Linked DNA regions of Drosophila melanogaster. The protein of the gene in region 1 interacts with the protein of each later gene in a pairwise test. Each region holds a gene or a part of one and is shown in the gene's direction. Other genes may lie near its edges.

Region 1 (7,159 bases):
AAGCGCCATGAGGGGTTGGCAAATTTCCAACCGAAAGTTCTGCTCTGCCGCCGCGCATCTGTATCTGTGCCCGCTCCCGTTCTCGCCTTCGAGTATCTGTATCCGCGTCCGAGTCTGTCTGCGTCTGTATCTGTATCTCTAGCTATGCCTGCGCGTCTGTCCAAGAGAAAGAGAAAGAGCGGAGCTTCGGGAAAACGAATTTACATTGCGCACAGCCACAGCCACATCCACAGCCAGAGGCAAGTGAAAAGCAGCGGCAGCAGATCAACGGGCCAACGGGAAAAGCAGGGATAAGCAGGCCTGGCATGGATGGCGCATCTTTGGGATCTTGGTATCCACGGAATACGCAGTCCGAATACGTTTTTCAAACAACCCGTTTTTGGTCCAACCTAGCTACCTACAGGTTAGCTAAACTGGAGTTTCGGGCTTGGGTACCAGGATATCTTTTCAGTATCGTATTTAGTTAGCTTTTGTACTGCGTCTCAATGAAAAGGGAGTGCAGAAGAAGTTGGTTAGTAGAATAGAGTCAGATCTTTTTGCCCGTTCTAACTTGAGCGCTTGAAGACAACACACCTGCGAAGGACCGCCAGCCGAGGAGCTCAATCCGCATGCCGAGTGCGCTGTGCCGTGATGGGAACCAATCTCATCCAACCCGACCTGATCTGATCTGAGTAGGCAACTGTACTTGGCATCTCACAACTTGGCAGCTGAAAAGTATTTTCGACTTTAAAAATAGCTGCCCCAAAGTCCCACCGCGCGCGGTGCAGGCAGGGGGGAGCGGGAAAAGCGAGAGAGGGATCGGTTTGGATCGCTTTGGTTTGGTTTTCGGCTTTTGGCTTTTGGCTAGAAGCGGTGGGCGGATCGGGCGCGTTGTGCGGGCTGCCTAACAGATGCCTTCGTTTACAAATAGCCGCTGTTTAAGCTCTCTCGCCGCTGATGAAAATTGATGGGTGCGAGCGCACGGAAAACCATATTCCACTTTCGATTTCCCATTTTCCATTTCGGCGTTCCGCCCGTTCCCCGTCTTCCCAGTGGGCACGGACACGCTGGTGTGCGTGAGCTTTTGGAAACTCGAGACTAATGAGGTCGGCCACGTAGCCTCCCCCGCCTTCTTGCTCTGCTCCCCATGCCCCCTCCGCGACTTCCCTGCGCGGACGAAGTGCCCAATGGCATCCTTGAGCTGGCCTCTGCCACACCTGGCAAGATCAATTGCGACCTCAACTTCAGTTGTCCAATCGGAGTTCCGAGGACCGTTTGCCTGGGTCCGGCTGGGCTGCCAGAGGAGCCAATGGCCCCGGCCCGAAAGGAGACTGCCATGGGCCGGTCTTTGGAGGCAAATGCGTTGCGTTGGCAGCGTTTCTTGGCACCCAGTCGCCTCACCCTTCGCGCCTGACGCTGCGATTTGAGTTCAAATTTATTTTTGGCAGCATCGCCGCACCATCGTCCCCCTTGCCGCTCATCCTCTGCTCCGCTTTTTTCCGTTTTTCCGGGACTCAGGAGGCTGAGAAAGGGGGAGGCGTCGGATCGGGATCGGAATAGGAATAGGAATTGGGTTCAGAGGCCCGATCGCTTGGCTCCACCTCTGCCTGGTTGGCTCTGTTTGCGTTGCTTTATCTAGTTCTGGGGTGTGAGTGCGTGCCTGTGTTTAATATAGGCTTCCGCCCCTCCCCTGCCCTACTGGTTGTTTGTGTAATCCATTTAAAGGTAATTGAACTTCCCTCCCCACCTTCTGCAGGCACACAGCCCATCCCGACGCACTAAGCCGAAGTCGAAGTCGGGGCTCTATATTTAGCCAGTGGCGCAGTGGCATGGCCTGGCATGGGGCTGGAAATGCAGTCGGGAAAGCGGAGTGGGCACCGCCATCCAGGCACCAAGTGAACCTGCTCAAGACGAGCCCAAAATTAGATTCCACGGGGCGCTGCGCTGCTACTCGAAGTCGTGCCACGGCGATCTGGATGCGGATATAGATCACTGAAGATCAGATCAAATCGGATCGATTTGGATGGGATCGGATCGGATTGGATGCGATCAGATCAGATCGCAGCACATAGAAAATCGGCGATCGTAGTGGGAACTTGGAGAATGAGAAACGTTTCATTTTTGAAGCACACTTGGAAAAATGAGACGTTTGCTGGGCGAGCTATTGCTATTTTTAGGCAAAGGCATCACCATAAAAGTTGCCCCGCTCCCCTTTCCGTGCTCCAGCTTTTCCCATTTTCGTTTGTAGTTTTCCAATATTTCTCGAGGAACTGTTTTCGAATTAATCGAACAAGGCGAGTAGGCGCATAGAGTTATATAGAAGTTATAGAATATACATATGGGGCTGGTATAAAGTTAAGAGCTGCAGACTCACTTTCAAACAAAAAGCTTCGAATGGCAGTAACACATTCATTATGAATAACATACATACATATGTACATACATAGATATTGGCGAAGAAATACTTCGAAACTGTGTCTTTGGATCAGAAATTCATTTTCCTGTTTACCCCTCCTCCGCTCCACTCCTTTCGGTGGAATTTCATCATCGGCTTCGGTTCACCGTCAATCGATAACAGTTAAATCGAGAAAAGCGGAAAACAAAACACAAATAACAATAAACGTGCTTCGGCAGAAGGAAAGAGAAGAAAGAAAACTACGACACAATCAAGCGAGAGCTTTTCTTGAAGGATAAAGCTTTGGGCTGAGTGCGCACGTGTCTGATGTGTGAGTATGAGTGTGTGTGTGTGAGTGTGTGTGTGGAAAACGTGTGTTGATGACATAAATGCGAAATAAGAAGAAGGAAGACAAGAAGGCGCAAACAGCTGTGCCAAGGAATCCCTGCTTCCTGAAACAAGTAACGCCCGGGGGAGGGTGTGACTCGAAACGAATCCAATCCCGACACCAAAACCGCGTTTTCGATTTCCAAGCGCGCGCTCCTGGGGTGGAAAACGCGCACTCTCACACGCGACGGTCACAAGCACAAACACACAAACACACACACCTAAAGAGGAGAGAAAAGGAACAGAGCTTAAAACTTCAATTGGAATCTTGGACTGCGAATTTACTCCCGTCGCATCCTGACCGCATGAAACGCAACAACCTCGGCACCTCCACAGTGTTTTTCCAACATCACTTTTCCGCGCATATGCTCTGAGATTGACTTTCAACCTGTGCGCTTGTTTTCGAGTGGGTCGCACCAACATTAATAGTAATAGTTACACTGGCAGTGGCAGGACACTCGTGGCCGTTTCTCGACTTACCGCCCCCTGACCCGGAACTAAACAAAAAGTAGAAAAAAAAAGGAGCACTGCTCCGCACCGCACGCTCCGCGACCGATTTCAAATAACAATAAAATCGGCACGGCAAACAACAACGCAACGCAACACGACGCAACGGCAACGGCAACAACAACACTCTGCTTTCGGCGGCAACGCTGCTGAAACGGGCGAAGCGAACGCGCGACGTCAAATGTCAGATTTTGTTGTTGCGAGCAGCGAAATTCCCGTGCCAGAGAGCGTGAAAAGAGAGGGGAGAGCAGGGCGCCAAATTCAAACGGTTGGGCTCATCTGCTTCGAGTACGGAGTGCCGTTGCTGGAAACGTTCTTCGCTGCAGAAGACAGGGATAACGTTCAGGCACAGGGATAAAAATAAACATTATTTAAGGCAAGGAATTGGAATAGACGCAAAGCTCACCACATGACATACTCACATACAAAGTTGAAGAATAAGATAAGATACGCTTACACTGGATCCCTGGCGCGCAAATAATCCTCTTATTAGCGCAATATTTTAACACAATTCGAGTCTTCGAACTGTCATACAAGAAAAGTTGATTTCCAAGTGGTTTCAGTGCCCGCGAGGTGGCAACGCCGAGCCAGTGGCAGTGTTGTGCAGCGCTGGCCCAGAGTTTATAAACAAACATTAAACGCATACACATCACGTACGGAACAACCAGTTGGACATCCGAGACCCTGCCAGATATCTAATCGCTGCGAGAGTGCCTGTGTTACGCATCCGAATCCGCATACCCATCCGCCCCCGTACTGAATTTCCGCAATCCGCAATGCTGAAGATCGCCGCCGAGGGAATCGCGCCACGTCTGGCGGCGGCCTGTTGCTCCATTGGAGCGAAGAGCAGAGGCCAAAGAATGGCGCCCCAGGCGGCCAGGGGCACCCAGAAGTACCTGTCGCAGTCGCAGCACCTCCACAAAATGCTGGTCATCAAAGACCACTACGAGTTCGATCAGAAGGTGAGTCAGGATTATGCAACGAAACGGGTTGCGATGGCCAGGAACGGCAGCAGGCAACGATGACCTTGTGCGCTGGCCTACGTGCTTGGGTTTGGGATACTTGGGAGGAGCAAGGGGTGCAGGCAGGGGAAGGGGACGAATCCACCCCATGACGTACTTGGCCGTGGACCCGTCCATAGATACAAACATATGTGTGCGCACACTCGCCTCAGTTCTGTTTTCAATTTTGTTTTCGGCCTGTGCTCGTGTATGCAAATGAGCCCCAAAACATTGGATACCGGTTTAAACCCCTTTCAGCCAGCCGCTGCGTCCGCGAAGAAACGGGAGCCAGCTGCAGAAGACCCTTCAGCATATCGCTCCATGGCCGAGTTATCAATTGCAGTTGGATTAGGCGAGATAAGAGAAACGTGAGTCACACACACACACACATTTTGTAGCCTCCCAAGTGACCACCCCGCAATCTCAGAGTAGACGGAATTTAAAACTACTAATATAGCAGACACTGGCTACAATTGTATGAATCACTCACTATATGAAAACTGCAGTATTCTGCCGCAAATCAATCTCGATAGTCACCCCGGCAGCCGCAGGTCCATCTCCCCTTTTTAGCTATGACGTTATGCCTATAAGTGGCATAATCTGGCATACTCGACGTTGTGGTGACGTTATGGGGATGACAATGAGGTGTTTTGTTAGTTCCGAGCAAAGCACTCCAATTTTAAAGTCTGTTCAACCACCACCTATGTATTATGCCTTGTTCCGCAGGTGATCAACAGCGACAACCCGGTGATCGTGAACTTCCACGCCGAGTGGTGCGACCCCTGTAAGATACTCACGCCCAAGATGCTCGAGCTGCTTGAGAACTCGAACGAGATCGACCTGGCGGTCATCGATGTGGAGACGAACCTGGATCTCGTCGAGACCTTCGAGGTGAAGGCCGTGCCCGCTGTTCTGGCCTTCAGGAACGGCGTCGTAGTGGACAAGTTCATTGGTCTGGTCGACGCCAACAGCATCGAGACCCTAATCGACAAACTGAAGCGGAAGCAACAGCAGAAGCAGTAGTGAGCTGGAGCGGCGATGCGATGCACAGGTGGATTAGATCAGGGATGCTATGATTTTACACACGAAACGGGAGACTGGAACTGCGATATGAAGCCCAATGCCGAGGCAGAATTTGCAATCATCGATGCTGAAAGAATGTGCACAACATACCTTAATATGCAATAAAACTAACTTTAATTATGGCTACTCTTAATTCACACTTCGTCCACAATCGATTTAGAATATTAATGGATCGCTTTATTGTTTGGTTGGTTCAGATACAGATACATAAAACTTGGTCCACATCTGGTTGTTATCTGACAGCTTCCCCAGACGAGGTTCCAATTACAATTCGTTAGGCATAATACAAATACATCCACGTGCACATGCGGTTTGGATAATAACTCAACTTGCTTATAAACATAAATCGAAATAGAAACAGAACAGAACAGAAACGGATCGAAGCCCGCCGACCGGGCGGAACCTACAGACTTAGACTAACCGGAAGCGGAAATCGATACGGCAAAGCGGGTAACGGTAGCGTAGCGGCAACGGCGGTTGGCGGTGTCCGAGTTCAATAACATTTTATGTGGATTACACAGCCGCACAAAGAAAAGCTGGAGTCGGAGTCCCAAGCTCTTGTTCGTCGTCTAGTAGCAGGCCATTTTTAAAATCTATTCCCAAATCCTGCTACCGATAATTGCACATTGGGTTTCCGATTAAAATCAAAAGGGTTTGGGACGAATGCAAGAACTTAGTCATGTGGTTAAGGCCAGACTCCGGGATCCGCGGAGCCCGAAACTCCCCCCAGCTTTCCTTTGTGGGACTGTGTCTTCCGGGTAATGGTCAATCCTCAGGACTGTCCGAGTGCGGATCGCCAGCCGAGAAGATCCCATCCGGTCCGCTGCGGCCGATGGCGGTCACCTCATCCTTAGCGAGCCAGTTGAATGATCAGGGCGGCGCACATTTCGAAAAACTCCATGGTGTGGTGGCCGGTCGGCTGCAGCGGCATCACCCCGGACACGCTAAGCGGCGGCGGAGTAAGGCTCTCCATGATGACGTCGTCGCCCTGCTCGACCTCGTCGTTGGTCAGCGACTTGAAGTCGAGCAGATAGCTCTTGGCGTCCACCTGGTACAGCTGCAGTGACATCTTCGAGAACTTGCCGGTCTTCACGTTCTGCCTGCGCACCCGAACGTGGTACGGATTGATGATCTTCCACTCGTAGCTGAGTGCCTTCATCGCTCGGTATACCTCGAGCATTATGTCGTTGGGCTTGCTCTGCGACCGGATGCCCAGATGCCACTTGGCGCGCTTGATGGGAGTGCCGCCACGTGCGGTTTTCTCCGGGAAGGCTCCGCCGCCAGATGTCTGCACGGACATGGCCAGTTGACGGTCCCGCATCGGCGCAATCCGCTCCGGATGCGGTCGAATGGGTATGGTGCTGCTAGGCGTGCCTCCAGCCACTGGTGGCACTGGTGTGGCGGTGCCCGAGCTGGCTGAGGTACCTCCGCCAACGGTCACGGTGGCCAGAGGGGCTTGGTGGTCCATCGATGATTGGGGAACGGGCGGAGGCGGCGGCGGTGGTGGAGAGCCGGCCACAAAGAAGTTGTTGATCTCGTTTATTTGGTTGGCCGCGTCGTCGGCGAAGCGTTTGTTGTCGATGATCAGATGGTAAGCGATGGCCAGCTGATCGTGCGGATCGCCGCTGAGCAGCGAGTTGTGCACCTCGGTCTCCTTGACGCCGAACTTGGTGCAGACCTCTGCCACAGCGTAGGTGTCGATCACATTGGAGTCCTGCTCGATGGACGAGGGGAAGAGGTAGGCCGGGAGGTCCTTTTGGAACCACTCGTGCTTCTTGATTTCCTCGATGTTGGCCCGCTTGAGCGG
Region 2 (7,596 bases), on another chromosome or scaffold:
AGCTGTGGGGAGTTGATATCTTCTGGGTAGAATGGCTCTTGGTGAACTTGGGCTCCGTCAGCGGAGTACATGATCAGTTCGGATTTTTGGCCAGAGAATCCGCCTTGGAACTGGAAACTAAATCCAGCTACTTTCTGTGGCTCCTCCAAGCTAATGGTAATGAATTGGGGGGTTCCCTGAAATGGCCGTTTGGAGTTATATTCTTTTTTTCCAAATCTTAGGATGATACCTCATCTGAATTCCAAGAAGTTTCTTCCCGCGTATCAAACATGAATTGCTTTCCGTGCTGCTTCACATCTCTGTTTAAAACCGAGCTCACCCTGCAAACTATACGTTAACTAAAGGGAGTTACAAAATAAAACCCAGAGTACCTGCAGCTGTATTTTACTTTTGTCAAAATATTCATAATTCAATAAAAATAAGAAATAAACAAATCGGAGACCGCGAGGTTAAAGGCATTAGAGATGGGCAACAATCAGAAATCCATAGAATTTTTTTTTGTACGGATTTTTAACACCCGATTTAAGAAATTGCTTTAAAAAATATATTTTCCCTAACTTTCTAAAATATGCATGATTCTTATTAGATTTTTGAAATAAATACGTCAGATAAAGATATATCGATATTATAGATGCTATACCAAGTATTGATTTTGCAGCCCTCGTCGAAAAAGCAAAACAGCTGGCAGTTTAAACATTTTCATTTTTTTTGTTGACTTATCTTAGAAGTTGAGATGATAAAAGCCATTCTCGTTTTTAACAATCACGGGAAGCCGCGGCTATCGAAGTTCTATCAGTATTTCGTAAGTACTGCGACATATAATCCATATAATCTAGTTCATAATAAATTGTCACTATCATTTGTAGGATGAAAGCCTGCAGCAACAAATAATCAAAGAGACTTTCCAATTGGTGTCCAAGCGGGACGATAATGTTTGCAACTTTCTGGAGGGCGGAAGGTGAGCAATATTGTTCCCGCAAATTCCTGGAATATCTTAAAGCACCTCTTTCCTCCAACAGTTTGATTGGCGGATCGGATTACAAACTCATCTACAGACACTATGCCACGCTGTACTTCGTTTTCTGCGTGGACTCCTCGGAGAGCGAACTGGGAATCCTGGACCTGATTCAGGTGTTCGTGGAAACCCTCGACAAGTGCTTCGAAAACGTGTGTGAGCTGGACCTGATATTCCACGCCGATGCCGTCCACCACATCCTCTCAGGTTGGGAAAGCTACTTTGGCAATCCATTCAGATTCAGCTATCATGAATTCGTTTCAGAACTGGTAATGGGCGGAATGGTCCTGCAGACAAATATGAACGACATAATGGCCAGGATCGAGGAGCAGAACAAGATCGTCAAGCAGGAAGCGGGCATCTCGGCTGCACCTGCCCGAGCTGTGAGCGCCGTGAAGAGTATGAACATTCCGCAACAGATTAAAGACATCAAGCTACCTGATCTGCCGCAGGCCATTAAGGACTTTAAGTTCTGACAAATGTGCGTCTGATATAACTCTCTCGTCTAATTGTAATCTGTTGAATCTAGTGCTTTTTCGCAGTCCTTCATGAATTTCCAACAGCTGTCGACTGTTCCGTAATATTAGGTCCCACGTACTCTATATAACTCCCCTACCATAATAAAAATGCAAATGAATTACCAGTAGCGAGAACGAGCCTTACGATTTTGATAGCTTAACAATGCGAAGTTCAACCACTTCCGTTCTATATCGAATGGGGTTTAAAATGTACATACAAAGTGTCTTGCGATGACGTATTCGCATGATCTGTGTGCTGCATATATTAAAGATTTATACCTAAAACGGTGTCCGCTGTATTAAACATGTTCATAATTCTACAATCAACTGTTTGTAAGATCATCTTCTTCGCCGACTTCCAGCATAACTTGCATTATTTTCCGCTTCAGCCTCTTGCGCGAAACTTCAGAGTTCAGGTTACGGAATTCACTGGCGATTAGTTCGCCAAATGCGTCCCATTGATCACGACCACTTAATGGTAAGTGGAAGGGAGAGGGAGCAGCTGGAGCTTCGACAGTTCGATTTGGATCAACGAATTTGGAAGACGGCGCAGGTTCAGGAGGCATCGGAGGAATGGGTTCGCTGACCTTCGGAGGCTGACAGATTTCTGCATCGTTCTCTATGATCATGGATTCCAGACTTTCTATCGAGGATTGGCTCTGCTTTTCCACATCCTGATCCGGGTAGCACATGTCCAGCTTCGATACCAATTTCTACCAAAAACCAGGATAGATTGGTTAACTTATGGGCTAAAGATTTCGATTTAAGGAGCCCACCTTGCCCGGAGCACCTTGTTGATAGCCTGGTCGTGGTTCTATAACAGATCGTAGGAACATCAACGTCTTGAAGTGCTCCCATCGACAAGCCTTCTCCGAATCTCGATCTCCTCCAGACTCCTCGAGCCTCCTCTCCAACTTCTTGAGCTCTGCATTGAATTGATTGCGCAGGTTGTGCACCTTCTTGCCATAGTCGTGTTTCGTTATTTCAAGCGAAGCGCAGATGGATTCGATGGCTTTAGCCCTGCAATCCTTGTTTTTATATAGCTCGGAATAGTGGTTCCACAAGCAGTCCGACGAGCGGTAAAGTTCGATTAGCTTGGCGATCTTCTCCCGCGTCCAGATCGTCTGCTTCCTCCTCTGTCTTTTGGTCAGTTGCGTTTCGCCCAGCTCCTCGGATTTATTTGGCATCTCAGCAAACTAACAACAATATGTCAATATGCATCGAATCTTATTGCAGTGCACATTTGGGATGGGCGAGTCTGAACTATCGAAAGTAAACAGCAACGCAGTATTTTTTTTTAGTACTTTTTGAAAAAAAAAAGAAACGATGAATAGTTTTATGATCTATCAAACAAAATGTAATTCCATTGCGCTTTATATTGATTTCTTAATGTTAACTACACATTTAGTTTTAGATATTTAACTGTGCTAAACTAATAGCAATCAATAAATACAACATTGAAATCCGATATCTCCGTACACGCATTCAGTCGCATCTCTTGGTCCTATCGACTAGTCGATAATTCTCATCGCAATTAAATGGATATACTTCAGTATATAAATAAAATAAAGTAAAATAAGCAAATCCGCTGGAATATGCAAGCGCGCTAGCCGAAAACAATTGGAAAATGTGTGCGGGACGCCAGGACCGACTATAGACCGTTTTCCGAGCTGGCTATGGTGACAAGGGACCACAGAACTGATAAATCCTAGGCCGACGCCCACTGAACACAGTTTCCTGTACAGGAGTGTAGTTTTGGATAAACGCAATTTTGGTAATTAGGGAGCGGTAGGCGCGCAGCTGGCAGTAAAGTACCTCCACTCTCGATTCCAGACATACCGGATAGGGCGCTAGCGAGCCCCAAACGTAAGCACAATGTCACAAGTAATACCAAACACGCCCACACCCCAAATGCTGACGACATCAACGCCCATAGAACCCATGAAACCACCACCAGCGTTTCCCACGATGAGCGGCGCAAACATACACGAGCAGGCGTCCGATATGATACTGCGGGCCTCGACGATTTTCGAGGACGTCAAGCACGACGAGGCGAATGTGGAGAATGTGCCCCATCACGGAGTTGAGACTGAGCCTGAGGACGACTCGCACTACGGCGGGAACGGCAACTCTAAGATCCGCATAATGCCCAGTGTGAAGCTAATGGCCACGACGCTCGCCTCCGATCCCAAGCGCAAGTTCGTCTGCCCGTATGACAACTGTACAAAGAGCTACGGCAAGAGCTCCCACCTGCGGTCCCACCTCACCTGGCACACGGGCATCAAGCCCTTCGTCTGCAGCGAGCCCAAGTGCGGCAAGGGATTCACGCGCTCCGATGAGCTCAACCGGCACCTCCGGACGCACACCGGCGAGAAGCCCTTCGAGTGCATCCAGTGCACCAAGAAGTTTTCCCGCAGCGACCACCTCACCAAGCACCTAGCTACCCACGACCGCCAGCTAAAGGGCAGCACCCCGAAGCGAACAGTACCGAGCAGCAGTGGTGGAGTCCGGCTCAAGCCCCCGAAGAAGCAGATTCATTCGGAGTCGGACTCGGGCTTCCACTTCATGGCCGCCATGGTTGGTTGCGGGGAGCCGAGCATGAAGCACCACCACCAGCAGCAGCAGCATAACCAGCACCAGCAGCCCGTGAGCATTATCGACATCCACCACAAGCCGATAAAGATTAAGCTGGAACGGCCGGAGCACAGCGACAAGTACCAGATCGTATCTCCTGAACACCAGATGGATAACCATGGCCACAACCAGAGCCAGTTGCCCGATTTCCTTAACCAGGCGAAGCCCGAGGTAAAATACGAACCGACCGAAGAAATTGTAAATACCCTCTCTCAGCTACCGCCGGCGGACGGACCCGGCACGTATGGGATGCCCCAGTTCGTTCAGGATCGGCCTTTCTACTGCCGGCAGTGTGAGAAGCGGTTCAAGCGGCAGGACGACCTCAACCGACACATACGAACGCACACCGGGGAGAAGCCCTACGCCTGTCAGCAGTGCTGTCGCCGGTTTGTGCGGAGCGACCACTTGAAAAAGCATCAGCAGACGCATTTGAAGATACGATAGTTTCATAGTTACTCCTTACTCCTTAAGTCGCTAGCCATTGGCATCCGCATCCAATCGATATTGGCTACCACACGGGCGTGTGTCGGGTGACGCACACAGTACAATAAAATTAAATAAATTCGCAATCTAACTATATTCCTATGCAAGATCAGCGCCGGCTCTCAAATCTCAATTTGTATGTATGTATGTAAATAAGTCGTATGCAATTTAATTTTAGCTCTAACTGTTTGTGTTTGCCGGAACGTGAAGACATACATCTGTATTTCTGAAACTCTTGCTGTTTCTTATTTTCTGGCTACTAAGCTCCCCGTATCTATTAATATAATTTATTTTAGTAAAACTGTTATTTATATTTATGGGCTAATTGATGGGGAACTGATAGTTCATCAGGATCAGGACTCGATCCAGTTTGAAATTTGGAATATGATTAATAATGGCCTATAAGAATGAATAATAGATATATGTATAATTTCTGATAAATCAAAGATTCATCGACTATCGGTTCGGTTGATAGAATCGACTTATCGATAACAGCATTATCATCACCATTGGCGTTTGATTCAGAGTTTCAAGCAATGTTTTGCACTGTTTAAAATAATTACACACAAGCGATGTGCGACTTTGACGCTTTGTGGGCGGATGTACTGAGAATCTTTCCGGTTTTGGGTGGAGCGGTAGGTTTATTCCTTCGGTTCAGTAATAGGGATTGGCGCTAGCACTCAGAAACTCTTACAGAACGCTGTATCCAATGATCCGGTTGAGGAGAATGTATTCCAAAATGTTCGCCAGCACCTGATGGTGTTGGGCAGCATAGACACCTTCGCGGCGGTTGTGGACCTGGAAATCCAGTCGACTATTCGGAATGTCCTGGTGCCCAAGTTCTGGAAGCACATCCACGACGGCTTGGTCTCGTCTAAATTGCAGGGCTGGATTAACGACCAAGCTCTGGCCATAGAAGCACTGCCCGATAAGAACGGACTGTTCACCCAGTTCATCGACGCCATCAATGAGCTGCATGACAGCTTTCAGAGCCTGATGCAGGTGAAGCCCAGGCTGATCCAGCTAGTTGGAGCTGAGACAAAGCCCACCGCAAAGACGGTGAAGCTCATGCAGGAGGAAGGCATTAAGAACTGCTTAAGGGACTGCTTGCTGGCTCAACTGCCACCCAATTTCAGTGTGGTCGTTGGGGCCTTCTACTGGGTGCACTTTAAGCTCTTCACCAAGGCCTCAAATCTCGCATTGACCACAGTTGGTATGTATCCGATACATACTCCTGTGGTTCCCATGCTCACTTGCTTTCCCCTTCAGACTCTGATGTTTTCGATGAGCTCCTCTGCGTTGGCTGCAACTTCGAAGCAGAGCAATGCTGCTGCCAAAGGCTGACGGATATGGTTAACAAGACAAACATGAAGCTCTTCGAGATGAACCTCATTGACCGTCTAACTGGGAGTGCTTTAACCGCTCTCATCAAGCTTAAAATCAAGGAGCACATCAGCGATACATGCATGGGAATCTTCGACAGAAGTCATCTTAAGCAACTGGAAACTGTAAGTTGAATGGGAATACCTTCTGTTGTCATAAATAAACTACTTAAGTAACTCATTTATTACCTACCTTTGCAGTGGCTATCGGATGTCATAATGTCCTGGCTCACAAACATATTCACGGAATGGAAGTCTAAGGATAGCATAAGCGATATCGAAGTTCCCGAGTCTGTAAAATCCTTCAAAGTCAAACTGACTTACTTTATGTACGAAACGTTTGCCCAAAGCGTTATTGGTCAGTTCTTCAGCATTATAATTGGTATGTGCCCGTAGATTCAGCCAAGAGTCCCCCAACTACATGTATTTATTTGTAAACAGACTATCCCGATTCCATTCCGGCTATAGATGACTTAAAGATTTGCATGGAGAAAATAGATATGCGAGTCTACCTCACTGAATCCCTTAGGAACTCGCTAGAGGCAAGGATTCTGCATCCTGGAGTCAACACCATGGACATATTAACGGGTTACGTGGCAGCCATCAAAGCTATTCGCCATCTGGATAGTACCGGAGTCATCTTAGAGATGGTAACTGCTCCAATCAAAGATTACCTGCGGAAACGAAACGACACAGTGCGACGCGTAGTCACTGGGTTGACTGAAGAGGGGCCCACGGACTTATCCGAGGAACTCGCCAAGGGAGAAACAATTAAGGAATGCAAGGACTCGGGTACCGATGAGTTCAGCAACTGGGAAAATTGGCAACCCGATCCGTTTGGTATAGATGCCAGCATTATGCAGTACAACAGCTCGCGGAAGATGAGATCGGCCGACATTATATCGATGGTTGTAGACATATACGGCAGTAAGGAGTTGTTTATGACAGAGTATCGCAATCTAATGGCGGACAGACTGCTGGCCCAGTTAGATTTTAATTCCGAAAAAGAAATTCGAAATCTGGAACTGCTGAAAATCCGCTTTGGCGAATCGCTGCTGCACAGCTGCGAGGTGATGTTGAAAGACGTAACCGACTCCAAGCGAATTAACGCGCACATCCACAGCGATGGCGACCGAACTGAAAGTGAGTTACTTTTAATTTTCAAAATGCTTTAACGAAACCATCTCATTTTAGATCAGTTGTTCGACATCTCCTCGCTGATTGTTTCTGCTCAGTTTTGGCCGTCCTTCAATAAAGAAAGCCTCCAACTTCCTGAGGAGATTGAGAATGAGTTCAAGAAGTACACCAAGGCCTACGAGGCATACAAGGGCAACCGTACGCTCAACTGGCGTACAGTGACTGGCCGTGTAAATATTGAAATCGAGATCGGTGACCGGACCATGGAAATGGTTGTGAGCCCCATTTTGGCGGTTATTATATACCACTTTCAAACTAAGAGTACGTGTTTACAGGGCAGTCAAGTTTTACAGTTTTACAACCGCATGGTCATATTTTTTTTTCAGATGAATGGACTATCGAGGATCTTAGTTCCATTACGAAAGTT

The links.
Region 2: the proteins of CG3719 (region 1) and CG3065 interact in a two-hybrid assay, tested with the Drosophila melanogaster proteins (one large-scale study listed by BioGRID).

The regions. Positions count from the first base shown.
Region 1 is NC_004354.4:1,377,209-1,384,367, reverse strand, and holds CG3719 (uncharacterized protein), read left to right. Parts: upstream 1-3,887; 5' UTR 3,888-4,044; coding exon 4,045-4,230; intron 4,231-4,995; coding exon 4,996-5,292; 3' UTR 5,293-5,483; downstream 5,484-7,159. Other genes in the region: AMPKalpha (AMP-activated protein kinase alpha subunit), read right to left, coding at 6,203-7,159.
Region 2 is NT_033778.4:23,967,287-23,974,882, forward strand, and holds CG3065 (uncharacterized protein), read left to right. Parts: upstream 1-3,018; 5' UTR 3,019-3,408; coding exon 3,409-4,611; 3' UTR 4,612-4,947; downstream 4,948-7,596. Other genes in the region: CG34213 (uncharacterized protein), read right to left, coding at 1-176, 230-320, 372-406; or (orange), read left to right, coding at 734-802, 867-958, 1,020-1,222, 1,280-1,491; CG10904 (uncharacterized protein), read right to left, coding at 1,857-2,246, 2,310-2,720; mr (morula), read left to right, coding at 5,223-5,285, 5,347-5,863, 5,920-6,158, 6,234-6,414, 6,474-7,175, 7,227-7,490, 7,556-7,596.